Linked DNA regions of Macaca fascicularis. The protein of the gene in region 1 interacts with the protein of each later gene in a biochemical or structural test. Links are inferred from orthologs where the notes say so. Each region holds a gene or a part of one and is shown in the gene's direction. Other genes may lie near its edges.

Evidence for each region.
Region 2: the proteins of EIF2AK2 (region 1) and TARBP2 form a complex in vitro, tested with the Homo sapiens proteins (2 studies listed by BioGRID, with this or other methods). The link is inferred for Macaca fascicularis from reciprocal best matches to the Homo sapiens genes EIF2AK2 and TARBP2.
Region 3: the proteins of EIF2AK2 (region 1) and PRKRA form a complex in vitro, tested with the Homo sapiens proteins (3 studies listed by BioGRID and IntAct, with this or other methods). The link is inferred for Macaca fascicularis from reciprocal best matches to the Homo sapiens genes EIF2AK2 and PRKRA.
Region 4: of the proteins of EIF2AK2 (region 1) and EIF2A, one has a biochemical effect on the other in vitro, tested with the Homo sapiens proteins (4 studies listed by BioGRID, with this or other methods). The link is inferred for Macaca fascicularis from reciprocal best matches to the Homo sapiens genes EIF2AK2 and EIF2A.

Annotation. Positions count from the first base shown.
Region 1 is NC_088387.1:85,032,983-85,037,768, forward strand, and holds part of EIF2AK2 (interferon-induced, double-stranded RNA-activated protein kinase), read left to right. Parts: exon of another isoform or gene 1-215; intron 216-933; 5' UTR 934-946; coding exon 947-1,065; intron 1,066-1,410; coding exon 1,411-1,531; intron 1,532-4,786.
Region 2 is NC_088385.1:60,310,616-60,315,900, forward strand, and holds the start of TARBP2 (RISC-loading complex subunit TARBP2), read left to right. Parts: upstream 1-2,136; 5' UTR 2,137-2,371; coding exon 2,372-2,424; intron 2,425-2,548; exon of another isoform or gene 2,549-2,671; intron 2,672-2,976; coding exon 2,977-3,146; intron 3,147-3,971; coding exon 3,972-4,074; exon of another isoform or gene 4,075-4,157; intron 4,158-4,639; coding exon 4,640-4,735; intron 4,736-5,285. UniProt on the Homo sapiens protein: Required for formation of the RNA induced silencing complex (RISC). Component of the RISC loading complex (RLC), also known as the micro-RNA (miRNA) loading complex (miRLC), which is composed of DICER1, AGO2 and TARBP2.
Region 3 is NC_088386.1:74,014,302-74,019,087, reverse strand, and holds part of PRKRA (interferon-inducible double-stranded RNA-dependent protein kinase activator A), read left to right. Parts: intron 1-756; exon of another isoform or gene 757-866; intron 867-1,802; coding exon 1,803-1,881; intron 1,882-2,890; coding exon 2,891-3,008; intron 3,009-4,553; coding exon 4,554-4,648; intron 4,649-4,786. UniProt on the Homo sapiens protein: Activates EIF2AK2/PKR in the absence of double-stranded RNA (dsRNA), leading to phosphorylation of EIF2S1/EFI2-alpha and inhibition of translation and induction of apoptosis.
Region 4 is NC_088376.1:53,385,846-53,391,142, forward strand, and holds the start of EIF2A (eukaryotic translation initiation factor 2A), read left to right. Parts: upstream 1-1,927; 5' UTR 1,928-1,956; coding exon 1,957-1,984; intron 1,985-5,297. Other genes in the region: SERP1 (stress-associated endoplasmic reticulum protein 1), read right to left, coding at 849-924, 1,191-1,274. UniProt on the Homo sapiens protein: Functions in the early steps of protein synthesis of a small number of specific mRNAs. Acts by directing the binding of methionyl-tRNAi to 40S ribosomal subunits.

The DNA of each region.
Region 1 (4,786 bases):
TGTAAATCCTCAAATCTGTCAATATAAATTTTTATGTGATTAAAGCAAATTGTATTGTTCCTAGAAAGTGTCATTCCAGTTCTGAGTTGAAGTAAAAGCATATTATTTGATGACAGTTCTTGCAAAGTCTTAAAACCTGTGTGACCAGTATAGTAGGTTTTATGGCACTCATTTGTAGTACAAAGCTGGACTCCAACTGAACATCGATCCATCATTCTTGATTCTGACATATTTTCCTTGTTTTATTTTGTCCAGAGATCTAGGTCACGGGCTGATCACCCTTAGTTTGAGCTCTCCTCCACCCGGCTTCGGGCAGGATCTGCGTCCACACAGGCTACACTCGCCCACCCGTTTCCCAGCCTGTCCCCGTGCTACCACTCCACTTTACTTATTACATATACTCTAAACTTTTTTCTTCTAAACATAAAACATTCTACACTCCTGCAGCCTTTTTACTTCTTTAAGCAGGTAGACAAACATGTAGTTGATACTAAGTGGAAGCACAGGGCAGAGTTAAAGAGAAGGACCCCCTTTCACTGACCAGCTGAGTTTTTTTTTCTTTCCTTTATTTTTTAAAACAATTCTGAAATTGACACGGGGTTTTGCCGTGTTGCCCAGGCTGGTGTTGAACTCCTGAGCTCAGGTGATCCGCCCGCCTTGGCCTCCCAAAATGCTGGGATTTTATAGGTGTGAGCCACCACCCCTGGCCAAGTTGAGTTTTCAAAGTAGAAAATTTGGAGAAATTAACTTTATTGTGCAGTGAGTGAGAAAGAAAGAACAGTTTTGAAAGAAAGTCTCTGCATTTATGTGGGACTGAGATGAGTCCTATAAAGGAGAGTCTCCCCAACCCCTCTGTCTCCTAAACTGCACTGGGAAACTCAGGTTAAATATGTTCTGTTAGCATCACTCATTCAAATGTCTCTTCCATTGTAGGATACTGGAAGAAATGGCTGGTCATCTTGTACCAGGTTTCTACATGGAGGAACTTAATAAATACCGTCAGAAGCAGGGAATATCATTGAGCTATCAAGAACTGCCTAATACAGGACCTCCACATGATAGGAGGTAAGTTGCTATAAACAATGATATGATCTTATAAATGTAAACTGGGGGAATGGCAACTCTGGCACAACTTTGAGGTCAACACTTTTGTTTTGTGAGAGTCCGCTTGGCGTAAAGCGGTAACCACTTTGGAGCCACAGATGATTCCAGAGAGAAGAGAGGGTAGAAACCTTTCCACACTTCAACAAGACATGCTGTTTTACTGCTTGGGGTGACTGCTTCCATTCTATGTTGAATGTACGTTCAAACCCTCAAAGGTAGTCATAGGAGGTAGTGGTAACTAGAGCACTTGTTTTTAGATAGTGCATGAGTTGTATAATATTTTATGAATATTCTTTTTGTAATCAGGTTTACATTTCAAGTTGTAACAGATAGAAGAACATTTCCAGAAGCTGAAGGTAGATCAAAGAAGGAAGCAAAAAATGCTGCAGCCAAATTAGCTGTTGATATACTTAATAAGGAAAGCGAGGTGAGTGATTGCCTTTTTTTCCTAGTAAATGGGAACTTGCAAATGCATTTTCTATTTCTCTCTGTGAGAAAATACTTCCATACAGAGTAAAGCCATTCACACGTTACCTTACATTCAAGAGTTTGGTTCAGTCATTCCCCCCATCTTCATTTCTATGAAACCCTGAGTGAGAGCTGCACACCCAGGACGCCGTGGGCAAAGCTGGAGAATAGTTATTCAGAGTGTCAGCAGCAGTTAAATACTCTAAAATTGAACAAATATGGAAAGATGAGAAGTGTTCAGTGGGAAATGAGCTGACAGGTTCTGGGATGAGTCCCCTCCATCTAATTGAGGAAGTGCAGTAAAAGAGGAAAAAGAGATGAAAGTGATTATAGGGAGAATGATGTACAGCGGTCACTCACTGTCTGTGGGGAATTGGTACCAGGACTCCCTGTGGATGCCAAAATCCACTGATGCTCAAGTCTTTTATATAAAATGGCATAGTATTTGCATATAACCTATTTGCATCTTCCCATATACAGTTATGCGTTGCTTAACAAGGAGAATACATTGTAAGAAATGCATTCTTAGGCAATTTTCTCATTGGGCAAACAACACAGAAGTACTTACACAATCCTAAATGGAGCAACCACTACGCACCTAGGCTATGTAGTATAGCCTATTACTCCTAGACTACACACCTGTACAGCATGTTATTATACTGAAAACTGTAGCCAATCGTAACACAATTTAGTATTCATGTATCTAAACATATCTAAATATAGAAAAAGTACAGTAAAAATACAGTATAAAAGACAAAAGGCTGGGCGCGGTGGCTCACACCTGTCATCCTAGCATTTTGGGAGGCTGAGGCAGGTGGATCACCTGAGGTCAGGAGTTGAAAACCAGCCTGGCCAACATGGTGAAACCCTATCTCTACTAAAAATACAAAAAATTAGCTGGGCGTGGTGGCGGGCACCTGTAATCCCAGCTACTTGGGAGGCTGAGGCAGGAGAATTGCTTGAACCCGGGAAACAGAGGTTGCAGCGAGCCTGAGGTCGTGCCATTGCACTCCAGCCTGGGGACCCTGTCTCAAAAAGAAAAAAAAAAAGACAAAAGTACACCCATATAGGGCACATACCATGCATAAATAGAGCTTGCAGGACTGGAAGTTGCTCTGAGTGAGTCAGTGAGTGGGTGGTGAGTGAATGTGAAGGCCTAGGGCATTATTGTATACCACTGTAGACTTTATAAACACTGTATACATAAGCTACATTCATTTTATTAAAAATTTTTTTCTTCAATAATAAATTAACCTTAGCTTACGGTAACTCTTTTACTTTATAAACTTCTTATTTTTAACATTTTGACTCTTTCCTAATAACACTTAGCTTAAAACACAAACGCAGCCAGGCGCAGTGGCTCATGCCTGTAATCCCAGCACTTTGGGAAGCCGAGGCGGGTAGATCACCTGAGGTCAGGAGTTTGAGACCAGCCTGGCCAACACGGTGAAACCCTGTCTCTACTAAAAATACAAAAATTAGCCAGGTGTAGTGGGGGTCGCCTGTAATCCCAGCTACTTGGGAGGCTGAAGCAGGAGAATTGCTTGAACTCAGGAGGCGGAGGTTGCAGTGAGCCGAGATCATGCCACTGCATTCCAGCCTGGGCAACAGGGCAAGACTCCATCTCAAAAAAACAAAACAAAACAAAAACGAAAACAAAAACACATAGTATGGCTGTACAAAAATATTTTGTTTTGTTACATCTTTATTCTATAAGCTTTTTTCTATTTTTAGAATTTTAAACTTCTTTTTTTTTTTAACTTTTAAACTTTGTTGTTAAAAAATTAAAACATGATTGGGCACAGTGTTTCATGCCTGGGATGTCGAGGAGCCATGATTATGCCACTGTACTCCAGCCTGGGTGACAGAATGAGACCCTGTCTCAAAAAAAAAAAAAAAAAATGCTGGGCATGGTGGTTCATGCCTGTAATCCCAGCACTTTGGTAGTCAAGGTAGGTGGATCACTTGAATTTGGGAGTTTGGGATTAGCCTAGGCAACATGGTGAAACCCTCTCTGTACTAAAAATACAAAACACTAGCCAGGCTTGGTGGCACGTGCCTGTAGTTCCAGCTACTCAGGAAGCCGAGGCAGGAGGATCATGTGCCTGACATGTCATGGCTGCAGTGAGCTGTGATCTTGTGACTACACTCCAGCCTGGGCAACAGAGCAAGACCCTGTCTCAAAAAAAAAGAAAGAAAAAAATTACAACACACACACACACACCAGCCTGCCTACACAGCATCAGGATCATCAGCGTCACTGTCTTCCACCTCCACATTTTGTCCCTCTGGAAAGTGTTCAGGAGCAAAAACATACATGGAGCTATTCTTTCCTATTGTAGCAATTCCTTCTTTTGGATTACCTACCGAAGGACCTGCCTGAGACTGTTTTACAGTTTACTTTTTTTTTTTTTTTAAGTAGAAAGAGTGCCTTCTAAAATAATGATTAAAAAGTATAATAAATATATAAACCAGTAACAGTTACTTATTATTATCCAGTATTATGTACTGTACATAATTGTATGTGCCAGACTTTTTTATAAGACTGTAGCACAGTAGATTTGTTTAGAGCAGTGTCACTGCAAACATGTGAGTAATGCATGGTGCTGTAACCCAGGAGTTTGAGATTGGCCTGGGCAATATGGCGAAACCCTGTCTGTACTAAAAATACAAAAAATTAGCCATTATAGTGGCTATGACCTCACTAGATGACAGTAATTTTTTAGCTCCATTATAATCTTACGGGACCACTGTCATATATGCAGTCCATTGTTGACCAAAATGTCATTATGCAGTACATGATTATCCTTTAGATCATCTCTAGATTACTTATAATATCTCTAATACAATGTAAATGCTATGTAAATAGTTTTTTGTTGTTGTTGTTTTTTGAGACAGGGTCTTACTATCACCCAGGCTGGAGTGCAGTGGCATGATCAAGGCTCACTGCAGCCTCAGTCTCCCCAGGCTCAGGTGATCCTCCCACCTCAGCATCCCAACTGACTCGGACTACAGGCACGAGCCACCACACCTGGCCAATTTTTGTATTTTTTGTAGAGATGGAATCTCACTATGTTGTCCAGGCTGGTCTTGAACTCCTGAGCTCAAGCGATCCGCCCACCTCAGCCTCCCAAAGTGCTAGGATCGCAGGTGTGAGCCACCACAGCCAGCTATAAGTAGTTGTTATGCTGTATTGTTTAGGGAATAATGACAA
Region 2 (5,285 bases), on another chromosome or scaffold:
TTCCTTCCCTGGAGGGGGCCAAAACTCTCCCTCCTCCTTCCCTCTCTCCCTTCCTGAGGATGAGTGGGAGGAGATGTTCTCTTGCCCTCTGTCCTTTAAGTCTGTCCCCCAATCACCCTCCACCCCACCCCAATACGGTCCTTTCCAGCTCTGGAGGCCCTTCGTCTCCAAGCTGGGCCGCGGCATCTCTCCGCTCCATTCCCTTCCTTCCCAGCCCCACACGCGTCGGGTCCAGGTCCCCAGTTCCTCCATCCCCACAGCTTCAGCATCCCCACACCACCACCCGCACCAGGCCACATCTGCATCCCGACCCTCCCTCCACGCCCGGATCCCAGGACCCGGACCCATCCCTGCCCCCCACCCCCCCACAACTCGGCCAGGCTCTCACCTCGGGGGCTCCGCGGCCGCAGCACAAAAGGCGGCGCTGCTGCAGCTCCGCTCCGGATGCTGCTCCCGCCTCCTCCTCCTTCTCCTCCTCCTTCCCTCCTCCCCCCGCTGCCCTCCACCGGACCCGGGGCGCTGTCACAGGCGATGCTCGTGCGGTGTCCGGATGCACGGGTGTCAGCTTCAGCTTGCTGCCCCCACCCCCCGACCCCTAGCCCCGTCCCTGCTCGGCTTGAACTCCCGCTCCTTCCAGGGCCCCCGCCCCTGGCCCCCCGGGACGGACACGCCCTGAGCGGGGGATGCTGCGATGGAGCCGCCGGCCTCTTAAAGGAGCCCGCTGCTGCCATCCGGCGCGCTCCACTCTCGTCCCTGGCCCGCCTGGGCCCCGCGCTTCCCTGCTGGCGGTGTCCTATGGAGGTCCCACCTCAGGCCTTAGGCTGATTCCACAGGAACCCCCTATGACTCGTCTTATAGACTCCTTTCTACATCGGAGAGAGCAGCCCCTCAGTTGGGATCCCTAGCGCTCTGGCATTGCTCCCCCTATCATACTGATCTTGCCAGCTCTCCTTCCCTTGATTGTCACCGCTCACTCTAATTTCACCCACTTGGAATTCACTCGACTCTAGGCCCCATCCTCCTCCAGTGTTCCTGGATGACCCCTCATTATCATTTAAAGATTCCTCTGGACCTCCAGCCCCGCCTCAGAGTAAGACATCTCTTTCTTGACCCCTTCTCAGAACACTCATTAGAACCTTTATTTATTTATTTATTTTTTAAAAATGTGATATCTCCCTTTCTCCAAGGTCACAAGATTTCCCTTAGCCCAGTGGTTGTGCGACTTTGGGGGAGGAGGCAATGGGGCTCTAGGACTAAAAAATTTGCGTCTGCTCAACACCCAGATCAGTTGATTAGTCTTAGGCGGCCAAAATTCACTCTTGCTTTCTTCAGCTGAGAGACCCAAGACTCATGGCAGAGGGAACGAGACCACCAGGTGCCTAGTCCTTCTAATCCTGTCGCCCCACACCACAGCCTGATTATCAGGCCCCAGAGATTTCCTTGCCAGTTAGAGAGGTTCACTAGAGCCGTTCTAAAAAGGTTTTACAAAAGAAGCAAAACCTGAAGGAGGTGAAGGACAACCTAGGAAGAGGAAGCAAGTTCTGTGTCACGGAGGCCCAAGGGCCAGGGGCTTAGGCTGTGGGTTGAGGGGACTGTCTGAGACTGACTTGGATCTGCACCAGCTCCAGAGCCCTGCGTAGACAGACATCGGTCCCCTCCGGCGTCTAGGTAAAGCCCACCCTCTCAGACCTCAAAGAGCCCGGATCCGACAGCAACCTCTCCGGACCAATCACAACCTTCCTTCACCAAGGAGGCGGGGTCAGGGGGCTGATTTTTCCTTGTCCCCGCCCCTTTGGTCGAAGTAACCAATTCCAATGTGCCTAGAGGAAGTAAACGCAATGGGAGTAACCAATGACAACATGAAGCTTCTCGTGCGTGCTTGACCCTGCCCCTCCAGCTGCGGCAAAGATGGCGCGCGGGCTCCTGGGTTCTGTAGTTTTCTCGGGATCCAAAAGGCTCCGTGCCCAAGTGAGTCCTTACCGCCCCGCTACCCAGCGGCTTCCCCTCCGCTAGTACGCATGTCCACAGCCTCACGGCCCGGGAGAGAGGGGGCGCGGAAGGAAGGAGGCGGGACGGTATTACAAACAAAAAAATACAGCCTTCTCGAGAAGCGACTGCGGAGAGCCCGCTCCTCCCAGAAGGCGGTGCAGCCGGCCCGGGCGAGCCACGCGGAGGGTTGTGGGGCGGATAGCTCCCCTCCAGATGGAGGCTCATGAAGTAGGGTGGGCGGGGGACTCCATATCCCAGCGTGCCCCTCGGCGGGCCCTACCGGCCGCGACTCCGGGCTTGGCCCCGGCCCTAGCTCGTCGGCGGTGTATTGGGGCGCGTGGAGGCTGCACTCACGGTGGCGCCCGCGGGGACGGAGGAGGGAATGAGTGAAGAGGAGCAAGGCTCCGGCATTACCACGGGCTGCGGGCTGCCTAGGTGAGCCGCCTCGTACCGATTCCTTCTGGGCAAAAAGCGTGGGGCCGTGCGGAGGGAGTAGCGGCGCGGCCCCAGCATGCACCTGGCCTGAGGGTTGTTCCCGGCAAGCACTGGGGCAGTGGGCAGTGGTTCCCGGCGTGCACCGGGGCAGTGGCTGCTGCCTTCAGCTCTAAATAGTTTGGGGTTGGCCCGGTTCCCAGACTGCACTGGAACACTGGGCTTTATGCCCCCACATTCAGTGCATTTGGTGGGTACTGGGTTCCTGGCTTGCACTGTGTCAGGGGGTATGCACTTTCAACCTGCATGGGGCACAGGATCGTGCCCACCTTAACTGAGGCAGGAGCAGTGCATTCTTCCCCCCTTGCTTTGAGGTAGTGGGCCCTACTCTTCCAGCCTGCACCTACACTTGGAACCCAGCCAATGGATGCTAGACTGCCTGGGGTTCCTTGGACCCTATGTCCCCCATAATGTGCCTAGGTCTGGTATGGAAGTGCTTGGCCAGGTGGGTGCAGAGAGGGGAGGTGTGATATGGGTCTGTGCCCCTTCCCCCAGTATAGAGCAAATGCTGGCCGCCAACCCAGGCAAGACCCCGATCAGCCTTCTGCAGGAGTATGGGACCAGAATAGGGAAGACGCCTGTGTACGACCTTCTCAAAGCCGAGGGCCAAGCCCACCAGCCTAATTTCACCTTCCGGGTCACCGTTGGCGACACCAGCTGCACTGGTGAGGAAGGCTTGGGCAGCCTGGCTGGGGTGTGCATTTGCAGGTCCCCATGACTTTGTTTCTTGGAGTCTCTTTCTTCACAGTCCTTTTCTTCAAGGCCAGTGAGGGAAGGAGAGATTTCAGGGGAAAAGCTACTGACTGGATTGGGAGAACAGGGCTGTGAGAAGGTGGGTAGGACGTGGGAGAGTTAGAGGATCGATCAGGACTGCCACATCACCCTAGAGGAAAAGGAAGAGAAGATAACTGAAATCCCAGTGGAGTATTTGGGGGAGTGAGTGCCTGGCATGCTGGGCTCTGTTCCCGGTGCTTAACCAAATTCCCATTTAATTTTAAACCTCAGTCTAACCAGTGATGTAGGTGGCAGTATCCCCCCCCCACTCCTCCCCCCGCCCGCCCATGTTGAATATGAGGAAACTGAGTATTTGAGATAGTAAATGGCTGGTGCATGGTCACATGCCTAGTGTGTGGCGGAGTGGGGCTTTTACTCCAGAGCCTACCCTCTCTTATTCCAGCTCTCTGTTTTTATTGAGGGAAAAGAAAGTGCTTTGCAAAGGAAATTAAAGCATTTGAGTTCAGAAGTCCACCCAAGGCGTTTGAGCTCAGAAGTCCTGCTTGGCATGGCTTAATTCTGGTCTGGAAGCTAATGGAAAGATAAGGGCTCTTCCTTCTAGCAATTAGTGAAACACTTCCAGTCTTCAGCAGGGGGTGGTTGGTCAGAAGGGGCTTGATGGATTCCCACTGGCTCTGAGGAGAGAGGCTGTGGGATGCTGGTTTCTCTCCCATCCTTCCAGTGACCTCCAGTATTGCCCATGCCCCCTCTCTCAGGTCAGGGCCCCAGCAAGAAGGCAGCCAAGCACAAGGCAGCTGAGGTGGCCCTCAAACACCTCAAAGGGGGGAGCATGCTGGAGCCGGCCTTGGAGGACAGCAGGTGAGGGAGGAACCGAGGCATCCCAGAAGCCCTTCAAGGAACCCAGGCCCTGCACCACCCCCTCTGCCACCAGGCCTGGCCAGGTGACACTTAGCCACCCTGACCTGGCCTCTTCCTGAGAGTCCCTCTGGACCTGAACAGGGTCTTCCAGGGCGTTTGCTGCTATGAAGAATTCTTGGGGTGGAGGGGTTGGTTAGCCCCATAGAGGGGTTGTGGCAGTAGATTGGGACCTGGGTTAGGGAGGGAGAGGGGTGGAGGCTGAGGCTAAAGGGAGTTGCTCCCCAACATACCTCCTTGTTCTAGCAAGATGTCCTTCCTTCACGCGCAGGTTGGAGTTTGTTGCTCCTCTGGTTCTTTGGTACAAAGAGACCCTCTTTTCTGTCTTTTTGCCGGTGTTTGGCGGCAAAGGATCCCAGGAGGAAGCTGTTGGTTGAGCCTCCCTGATTCTTTGGCTCAATTTGGAAGTTCTCTTAGGGGATCGGGAGGTCAGGAGGACGTGGGTCCCCCACCCCTCTCTTCCCCCTATACATGGGTGTGAATCAAAGGCCCCCTTCCCCTCGGGAAGTTCTTTTTCTCCCCTAGACTCTTCACTGCCTGAGGACATTCCGATTTTTACTGCTGCAGCAGCTGCTACCCCAGTTCCATCTGTTGTCCTAACCAGGTATCTGTGTTCCCTGACTGCCTGAGGTGGGTGGAGGAAGGGGTTCTGGTTTTTGGCTCCTCAGTCTTTGGACCCAGGCTGGTCAGGCATGAGGAAGTCTGAGAATAAACAGAATGGAATAGTTGGGAACCAGAACTTGAAGAAATCACAGCAGCTGGGGTAAGCTCTTGGGACAGAAGGTCATTTGTGATTTTCAGATAGCCTTATGGATGATGTTCGACCATATTTAAGGGTCTCGCAGGCCCCATTTTCTTCTGGGTTGACCACATGTCAGTTCTGTGTTTGAGGCCCATCAGGCACTTCTGGGACTGGAAATACAGCTCTTCTCCCACTGTCCTGGCTTGGATGATACACAAGTGTTCCAGATTGGAAATGGGCTGGGGCCTGGAGAAGGCCTCCCTTGAGTGGGAGGGGGAAGGAAGCCGGCTAGAGCAGGAGGGAGCAGGCTCGATGTGTGAACAGACAGCTGCCTGCCCGGTGGGAATCAGGAGATGGTAGTCAGGAATCTAAAGTAGTGGTTAGGCTTGGAGCTCATGGGCAGGCTCAGATG
Region 3 (4,786 bases), on another chromosome or scaffold:
ACGCCGTAATCCCAGCACTTAGGGAGGCTGAGGTGGGTGGATCACTTGAGGCCAGGAGTTCAAGACCAGCCTGGCCAACATGGCCAAACCCGTCTCTACTAAAAATACAAAAATTAGCCAGGCATGGTGGCAGGTGCCTGTAATCCCAGCTACTTGGATGGCTGAGGCACAAGAATCGCTTGAACCTGGGAGGCAGAGATTGCAGTAAGCCGAGATTGCGCCACTGAACTCTAGCATGTGAAACCCAGTCTCAAAGAAAAGGCCAGGCGTGGTGTCTCACATCTGTAATCCTGGCACTTTGGAAGGCCAAGATGGGCAGATCACTTGAGTCAGGTGTTCGAGACCAGCCTGGCCAACATGGTGAAACTCCATCTCTACTAAAAATACAAAAAATTAACCAAGTGTGGTGGCATGCTCCTGTAATCCCAGCTACTTGGGAGGCTGAGACACAAGAATCCCTTGAACCCAGTAGGCAGAGGTTGCAGTGAGCTGAGATCGCACCATTGCACTCCAGCCTGGGCAACAGAGCAAGACTCTGTCTCCAAACAAACAAAAGACATGCCAAATGACATGGCAGGTATTGGGTTCTCCCCCACTGGTGATGGCCATGCTGTTTCTGTACAGCCTGAAGGTGAACCCAACCAGTAAGTACACTTGTAGAAATGAGGGGTATAGAGTGTCCTTTCTGCACCTGGGCACTTCACTTTGTCAGCAAAAAAAGCTAACAAACTTTACTATATTTGTGCTTCTTGACAGATAAAATGGGAATTACTAAGCTGTAATCAGGCCTAAAGTGGCCTGACTTAATACAGAGACTTTCTCACTTCTCCATCACAATTATTTGGGTAGCTTCGGCATGCAGCATTGTAAGTGAATACTCATATCTCATCAGCCTATGTAAAGCTTGAAGTTCTCGCAGTTGGAGAAAAAGAAAAAAAAAAAACCTTGAGGAAGTGGCAATAACTAAACCTCACTTGTCATGGAAAAATGACTCCAGTTGCCTAGGTGGTAGTAACCTTGAAATGCTGCTTATTCAATTTTAAGCACTGACCTGCCAAGTAACTAGTAATTCCCAACTCCCTAGAAGAGGTTCTCTTTTTCCCTAATCATAATCCCCACATGCTAAAACCAAATTCATCTAAGCCATCTATTTTATGCAGGATACATGTAAATCTTAGAGGATTATCCCAGCACTGAGCAGATGACAGATCAAACAGATCTCTCTTCATAGTTCTCTGGATGAAAAAAACAATGTTTATAAATAATCTGTATTGTTCACATTGCCAGGTTCAATTTTCTGGATCATTGTTACTCTTCTATTTTTTGCATAGTTGTAACAGAGTATTCTTTAAATATTTTTTTATGACATGCCTATTACGTACAAAACGCCACAAAGCTTATGTAGGTAAGTGATACATAGGCCCTACCTCAAGGAGCTTATAGTCTGAATAGGGGAGAGGTATGGTGAAGGATGGACAAATTATATGTATTTGTAAGAGTATATAATTTATGGTAAAACAATTTCCTCAAGAAAGGATTAAACCGTGTGTTATAATGTTTCAAAGAAGGGAGAGATTATAAACCACTGGGGTAAAAGGATAGGCTTCTTGGAGAAAGTGTCATTTGAGATATATCTTGGATGACAGATCAGATTCCCATAGAAGAGGCCTGAGAAAAGGGCATTCCATGTAGAAGGAATGACAAGAGCAAAGACATAGAGAGTTAATTAGAAAATGCTTGTCATTTATTTCATAATTTGGGGGAAATTATTTTGTTTTATAACACTTTTAAAAAATATTTAGCTTTGCAGTTCCTGATCCCTTAATGCCTGACCCTTCCAAGCAACCAAAGAACCAGCTTAATCCTATTGGTTCATTACAGGTAAGTTGTACAGTTCTTTGCCTACTGATGAAATATATAATAAGTTTGTAATATCAGAGGGGCTAACACAAGGAATTAATATTTTAAAGACAAGATAGTGATATATTTTGTTTGCCAACTTACGATCATTAGATTTATAGAGCTAACTTGAAATTATTCCATATACAGTATTTGCCTTTGGCTTATACAATTCTCATTTAAGATCAATAGGCCCTCAGTGCACATGGGTAGAGTGTTTTATACTTTAAGAATAGTTCTTGCTACTCTTGTGACAAATCTCTTTCTACTTCTGTTGAGACAGAAGACTTTATAAAGAGCCTAAATCAAATCAGTGAACCTAACTCAAGAAAAGGAGTCTGCTTATTTGCTTATTCTACCGAAAAAAGAAAAATTTATATCTACACACACTCACATATGCACACATATTCAGCTTTGAATTTCTATATGCAGAATATCCTTGCAGACTATTCATGTGCTCTGTTAGGCCATTCCCCTCCCCATTATTCAGCCAGTCCTTTGGTCTCTTTTTCCAGCACTATGAGCTTTTCTATAGTTTTCTTCACCTTCTGTCCCCCACCTCATCCAAGTCTGTTGTTTGCTGTCCCTACTCATGTGTTCTTGGCCAGCTGTGGGTTTGGAAGTCTATAGCTAGGAGGGGAGGGACTTTAGGAACTGATGGCAGTGAAACCTGTAGATGGTCTCCTCTGGTGTTCCCAAAGAGGGCGGTAGTAGCCTGTTTTTCTAGTTGAAGTCTCATACCAGCTCACTATGGTTTAATTCAAGAACACCATTCATAGCAGAAAACTGATTCAGTTTTGGTATTGGGATATAAAGATACAAAATGCAGGAATGTCTCTGAGAAATAGAGGGTCTTCCCTCTTTTTTCCGTTGCAGAAAATCACTATTCTTTTCAAACATATACATAGAAATGGGATCAAAATTAAGAAAATACTTATGTGATTGAGCCATTGCATAAAATTACTATTAAAGCCTCATCTTGATTTTATAGGAATTGGCTATTCATCATGGCTGGAGACTTCCTGAATATACCCTTTCCCAGGAGGGAGGACCTGCTCATAAGAGAGAATATACCACAATTTGCAGGCTAGAGTCATTTATGGAAACTGGTACTTATTTCTTACAATTAAAGGCATTTGAAATATTTTCAGATGATGAATGACTATAGAAATTTCTGTCATAATGTTTTCCAGTATTTCTATGCAGAAAAGTTGATACACTCCTCTTTTATAGTCTCTGACTTTCTGAGGCTGAACTTAAGTATAAATATTTGGCTTAAGATACTTAGTCTTAATTTGATATTTTTAAAAATCAGAGATTATTAATAGAAACTATTGGCTTGTACTTTAAACAGTCCTCATTGATAAATTAGTGACTTTAAAAAAACTCATTTTGGAGACAAAGCTATAGCAAATCTCTTGGATTTTATTTAAGAGCTATTCTATCTAGAAAATAGGACTAGAGGAAGATTACCCTTGAAAACGATATGATTAATAAGAGACTAGATGGCAAATAATTGCAGTGAGATAAAAATGAAAATTATCTTTCTTAATTGTAGCAACTCCTATGTTATAAAGGATATAAACTGTAAGAAACACTGTCACTTTAGAAAGTACTAGTGAGAATTCCTGTTAACTTTTCTGGCATGTTTTTGTCATTTTTTAAAGTGGCTTAAAATGGGATTTTACCTTAACTAGATAATAGTTTCAAGTAATAAGAAACTGTGTGCCTTTGGGAGGTAGTGTGGGCTCTTACAGAAAGCACCAGGTCAAAAGCAAGAACCTCAACTTCCATTTTTGATGCAGTCCTTGATTTGCAAAGTTAAGCAAATTAATCTCTCTGGACCTCAGTTTTTTAATCTATAAAACAAAAACATGGAGATAGATATTTGTGGTATCTTTCAACTCCAGCATCCCCTGTGCCTTTCTTATTCCTGTTTAAAGGAATTCCATATAATTGTCAGTTTAGAGAAGATCACAAGCAGGAAATAGACATTGAGAGAGAGGAGTTATAATTCAGATGTATTTTAATAAATATGAATAATTGGTCAGAATTAAATGTGGTTCAGTAATGCTAGACATAGGAAAATACAATTATTATAGAAAAACAGAAAGCATAACTATTAAAAACTTAAAACAAATGCCTTCAAAAGTGTAAGAATTAGTAACTATACAGGCCAGGCACAGTGGCTCACCTATAATCCCAGCCCTTTGGGAGGCTGAGGTGGGCCGATCGTCTGAGGTCAGGAGTTCGAGACCAGCCTGGCCAACATGGCAGAACCCTGTCTGTGCTAAATATAAAAAATTAGCCAGGTGTGGTGGCAGGCACCTGTAATCCCAGCTACTTGGAGGGGCTGAAGCAGGAGAATTGCTTGAACCCAGGAGGCGGAGGTTGCAGTGAGCCAAGATTGCACCACTGCACTTCAGCCTGGGCGACAGAGCAAGACTCCATCTCAAAAAAAAAAAAAAAAGAATTAATAGCTATACAAAAGAAATAACACAACAAACAAAGATACCAGGTCAGTAAGAACATAGTCTAGCATATAATAAAAACCATGAGGTTCTCTGATTAAATACAATACTTTATACAGTTTGATCATCCTCTGTGGACACTAATTTCTTTTCTAAATCTACCATTTCTTTTTCTTTGTTCAGGAAAGGGGGCATCAAAAAAGCAAGCCAAAAGGAATGCTGCTGAGAAATTTCTTGCCAAATTTAGTAATATTTCTCCAGAGAACCACATTTCTTTAGTGAGTAATGTTGACAGCTATGATGTTAATGTCATTAAGCATTTCTTGCTGTAGGAAACTTTCCTTGATTTCTTATTGTATGGCTACTTCAGAGTTGTGATTTTTAGAAATCTCTTCATTATTCAGTTATACACTACC
Region 4 (5,297 bases), on another chromosome or scaffold:
AACACAAGCATGTTTCCTCATTCTCACAAAGCTGAAATTCAATAATCTTCAGGTTATATAAACTGCTTGGCTCTCAGCCATTTATCAGGAAAGTTTCCAATTGGTAAGTGCAAAAGAAAGGCAAAGTGAAACGTTAAACAGAAATCTCAGTAACTTTAGAAAGTGGAAAACCAACATCTACTTCAATATTAACAGCTTGCATATTAAGATGATAAACGAAGAGAGGAAAGACCTTTTTTTTGTAATCTATTTGCAAAGGCAAGTGTCTGTTACTCTGACAGCAGGCTGCCCTGACAATTTTTTTTAAACCATATGTCAAACGTTTCTTTTATTAACCTAAAAACATTTGACTCACATTAAAATGCCAATCAGGTACATTTCCTCTACAGTGAATCAATTCTTTGCACAAGCTTTACTTCATAAAATATACTCAATTTTGACATTAAGATATTAAATTCTGGTATATGTTAAATCAAGTGCTAACATCTGTATGTACATATTTATAAGTTCCTTTGCAAAGGCTGATAATGAAGCTAAAAAACATTCTAAATTATCATTCCGTTAGGTTTTGTCCGGTCGTACATTTATTCCAACTCGATCATTACCAAGACTTGACCTCCTTTCTGATCTCCTGTGAGTACAAATTAAGCTAGGAGAAGTTTCTGGAGCACTACCCTCTGTGCATATGTGGAACAAGTAATTTGGTTCAGATGAAACAGAATTATGTGGAGTCCTCGGCAGGTGGGTTGAGAACTACGCAGGTAGGACCCACTACTGACCGGTCACCACGTCATCCCAAACCCTTTCAACCCAAGACTCTACCTGATGGGAGCCCGCAAGACACTTACCAGAGCCACAGACAACAAAAATGAAGAGAGCCAATAACCAGGGTCCTACAGACGCCTTCTCTTCGGGGGCATTTCTCTGCAAAAGCGAAAATCCACCATTTCAGATGCAGACAAACCACTCGGACCCCAGGCTCCCACAGCCCCGGTGGCCGGTCCCCTCACCCACAGGTCTCCCCTTCGGTTCCCGAGCCCCTACAGTCTGGCGGCTCGCAGACTCGGGCCCCTACCCCTCCACAGCACAGCCCACAGTCGGCCGGATCCGGGAGAAAACGCGACGCGGCCCCAGGGACCCCGACTGTGCCCCGGCTGCGGAACGCAGAGGGGCGACCGCTCTTTCCTTACCGAGGTCTTGGCGACGTTGCCGCGCTGGGTGATGTTCTTGCTGTGCTTCTCGTTGGCCATACGGATCCTCTGCTTGGCGACCATCTTCGCGGCGCCACCACCTGCCCCGGCCACCCCTCGGACTCGCTCGCTCGCCTGCCTCCTCTCGAGCCGCTGCGAGGCTCGGCTCGTGGTGCCCGCGCCGCCGGAGCGCCGAGGTTCTCAGGCCAGGCGCTGGCTACGGCCGCTGGGCCTGGGCGCGGCAAGCGCGGGGACTGAGCACAAGCCGGGCGCCGGTCGCCGACTGACTGGCCAAGCCTGGCGGGTGCACGGGAGGAAGATAACTGGCCGCCGGGTCGTTCTCGCACCGCAGTCGCCGCCGCTTTGGCCGCCGCCGGGAGCGCGGAGTGAAAGAGGAAGGAAACGCAACGCAACAACGGGAATGTGCAGCCCGCCGCCTCGATCTACTTTGGGTTCGGCTGCCAACGTCAGCACTAGGTGGGCTCCGCCCCGCGGAAGTGCGCGCCCCTCCTGCTAGAGAAGGAGGGCGAAAGCAGACGCACCCACCCCAGTCCAGCCCTCCCAAGCTCGGTCAAGCGTCGCCCCAGATCTGTGCTTGCGCGTTCGGGCGCCTCTTCCGCGTCACTCCGCAACCGGAAGTGAATTGGCCCCGAGGCTGATGGCTCCGGAAACACCAGCTCGCTGTTTCCACGCAGGAGGAGACGTGTAGGGGCCGGGTTCGGCCCTCGTGAACTCTCACCCGAGCGGTTTCTTTTTCCGGGACAACATGGCGCCGTCCACGCCGCTCTTGACAGGTGAGTTCTGAAGAAGCAAGGGACTCTCTTTCTTCAGACTAGTTTCTTATTTTTGTCTTTGTCTTTGAGAACTACCCGAGGAGCCCGAAAAGTCTGATCTGCCTTTTCTTGTGGCTTGCGGAAAGGCCAGACTATCTCTTGGCTTTCTTGATATAGCGTGGCAGTCGGAAGTGAAGTCTCCGCCTCTGGGCTTTCGTATTCCCCCTCCCTTTCACTGATCCATCATTCTTGCCTGCGGATTCATCTTCTACAGGAATAGAAGAAGGGGGAGAAAAACAGAATGTGCTAGTTGAATTTGTGACACTTGGGTCTGCAATACTGGTGTTACACGGGCCCTTGTGAAGTCATTTAGCTCTACAGTAAGGACAAAGACAAACAGAGTTAGTCCACTAGAATGACCACGCACATTAAATACACCTGGACTTAAGTAATTCCAAATTCTGGCCTGCCTTCCTTAATGGGGTTTGTAGTACTGAATAGGGAGAGTGGAGCTGTAATGCAGATTTCAAATGATGAAGGTGGGGTTGGAAGAGGATATAGCAGTGAGCATGATAGAGATATTCTAGCAACATTTTATTTTGAAATGGTTATGAGCATATTAAAAGTAGAACATTAGAGGACTTTTGAAATTTTGAAGCTGAAGACAGAGTGTGTAGTGTTGAAGAAGATAATAAACTTAGATTGGACAATGCTGGGGAAGTTGCTTTACTAGGTTGTGGCTAGGAGTATTTGCATGTGAGTATTATGTAAGGGAAAGAATTGGGAAGGAAAAGAAGGCTTTGGTTAAGTTCTGGTAACTATACAGAAGGAAAAAAGTCATTAAGAGAAACGTCTGCATTTGAGGAGGAAGGCCATTTCCTCCCTTTTCCCCCATCCCCTGAAAGGAACCTTAAGGGCCGGGCGCAGTGGCTCACGCCTGTAATCCCAGCACTTTGGGAGGCGGAGGTGGGCAGATCACGAGGTCAGGAGATCGAGACCACCCTCGCTAACATGGTGAAACTCCGTCTCTACTAAAAATACAAAAAAATTTAGCCGGACGTGGTGGCGGGCGCTTGTAATCCCAGCTACTTGGGAGGCTGAGGCAGGAGAATTGCTTGAACCCGGGAGGCGGAGGTTGCAATGAGCCAAGATCGCGCCACTGCATTCCAGCCTGGGCGACAGAGCGAGACTGTCTCAAAAAAAGAAAGAAAGAAAGAAACCTTAAAACATTTTTGCACTTTTTGCCAGTCTACGTTTCTATTTCTACATTTTAAAATCTTTATTATTAAGCACCATGCCCACTGATAGTCTGTCTTCTACAGTTTAGTCATCATTTATCAAACGCTGGCTATAATGTGCTAGGTAATATGCTAGGCAGAGACTGTTGGGCAAAGTTACATAATAAATTTTTTTTAGGTTCGTAAAGGTAGCTTGTTATTCACAATTTTTAATACTAAATTCTTATTTGAACTCTAATGAAAACAATACGACATTTAAAAATCTGATAAATAACCTCTCCTTTAAAAATGCCTACAGTAGTTAGTTCCTCACTGCTTACAGGGTAAATTCCATCCCACGTAGCATAGGGTATGTAACCATTTATAATCCTTGAATTGCTCTTGAGACTCATTTATTTCCTTGCTATCCCATCCTATTTTGTACTCCATCAATACTGAACTGCTTGTGAGTACCTTTGAACAACCTGTTTCTTCAGTCTAGTACTATCCTATGCCTCTAGTTGATTTGGCAAACTCTTTATCATCTGTTGAAATTAAAATTCATTTTAGATATCATTGCTCTGTGAAGCCTTTCCTCACGCTACCCAGATAGAGTCAGTCACTTCCTGGGCTATTTTTGTACCTTAAGTATATTTGAAATTTTGTTTCACTTACTAAGTAGGATAATTAGACATTCACTTGCCTTTCTCCCCTGCTAGACTGTGAGTCCTTCAATGTCAGGGACAGGGTCTTATTCATATCTGTCTTCTCAGTACTAGTGCAGTGCCTGGTAGACAATAGATACTTTAAATCAGGGGTCCCCAACCCCCCGGGGCCAGATTGGTACCGGGCGAACATTACCACTTGAGCTCCCCCTCCTGTCGGATCAGTGGGGGCATTAGAGCCTCATAAGAGCGCAAACCGTATTGTGAACTGTGCATACAAGAGATCTAGGTTAGATTTATCTGTTTAGACTATCCTTCTAAATGAAGGATAGCCACTTTATAGTAAATTAACCAAGGATGACAATTGTCTTACAGTGTTTAAAATGAGGGAATTTGTAAGAGCTTAAATGTTGTCTGTTCAGTGTACTCTTCGTATTCTCATATTCTTAGAGGCCCAGAGAGATTAAGTGGTCAGATTCATGCTGCAGATTGGCAGGATTAGGATCATACTTATTCAGATTGCTCAACTCTGTGGTCCATTTTTCTTTCACAAGAACAAACTGTTTAATCTTTTAAGCATTTTCAATGTACATATTTCATTCAACAGTAGATTATTTTACTTCCAAGATCTTTTGTTAAATTTAGACTCATGGGATTTTAGAGCTATGAATAGCTTGCAGATTAGCCAGTAAATTTTGTTAACCCCAACTCTTAATTGGGAATGACAAGCCAAAGCAGGTGAAAAAGGAATTTTTTTTTAAACTCATATAACCTAAAAGCCTCACTGCTGCTAGATCCAGATACTCACATGCTTCAGAAATCTGTTTTTCTTTCTTTCTTTCTTTCTTTTCTTTTCTTTTCTTTTGTTTTCTTTTCTTTTCTTTTCTTTTCTTTTCTTTTCTTTTCTTTTTTTTTTTTGAGACAGAGTTTCACTTTTGTTGCCCAGGCTGGAGTGCAATGGCGTGATCTTGGCTCACTGCAACCTCCACCTCCCAAGTTCAAGCGATTCTTGTGCCTCAGCCTCCCGAGTAGCTGGGATTACAGGCATGCACCACAACACCCAGCTAATTTTGTATTTTTGGTAGAGATGGGGTTTCACTGTGTTGGTCAGGTTGGTCTTGAACCCCTGCCCTCAGGTAATCCACCGGCCTCTGCCTCCCAAAGTGCTGGGATTACAGGCGTGAGCTACCACGCCCGTCCAGAAATCTGTTTTTCTTCATCTCTAGGCTCTTGCTTTCCTCCAGATTAAATTCATCTTTAAACTGACATTCAACCAAACACCCAGCTCCAAAGGAAAGAACACATTTTTGCCAGTAGTCTCAGCGAAAATCTCAAGGCTAACTGCCTTTGACTTTGCTTGGCTCATCTTTGTATCAGTCAACTTTTAATCATGTAGTCAGGACTAAATTATATTCTCACTCCTGGATACTCCTCAAAAGAAAATGAGAGCCT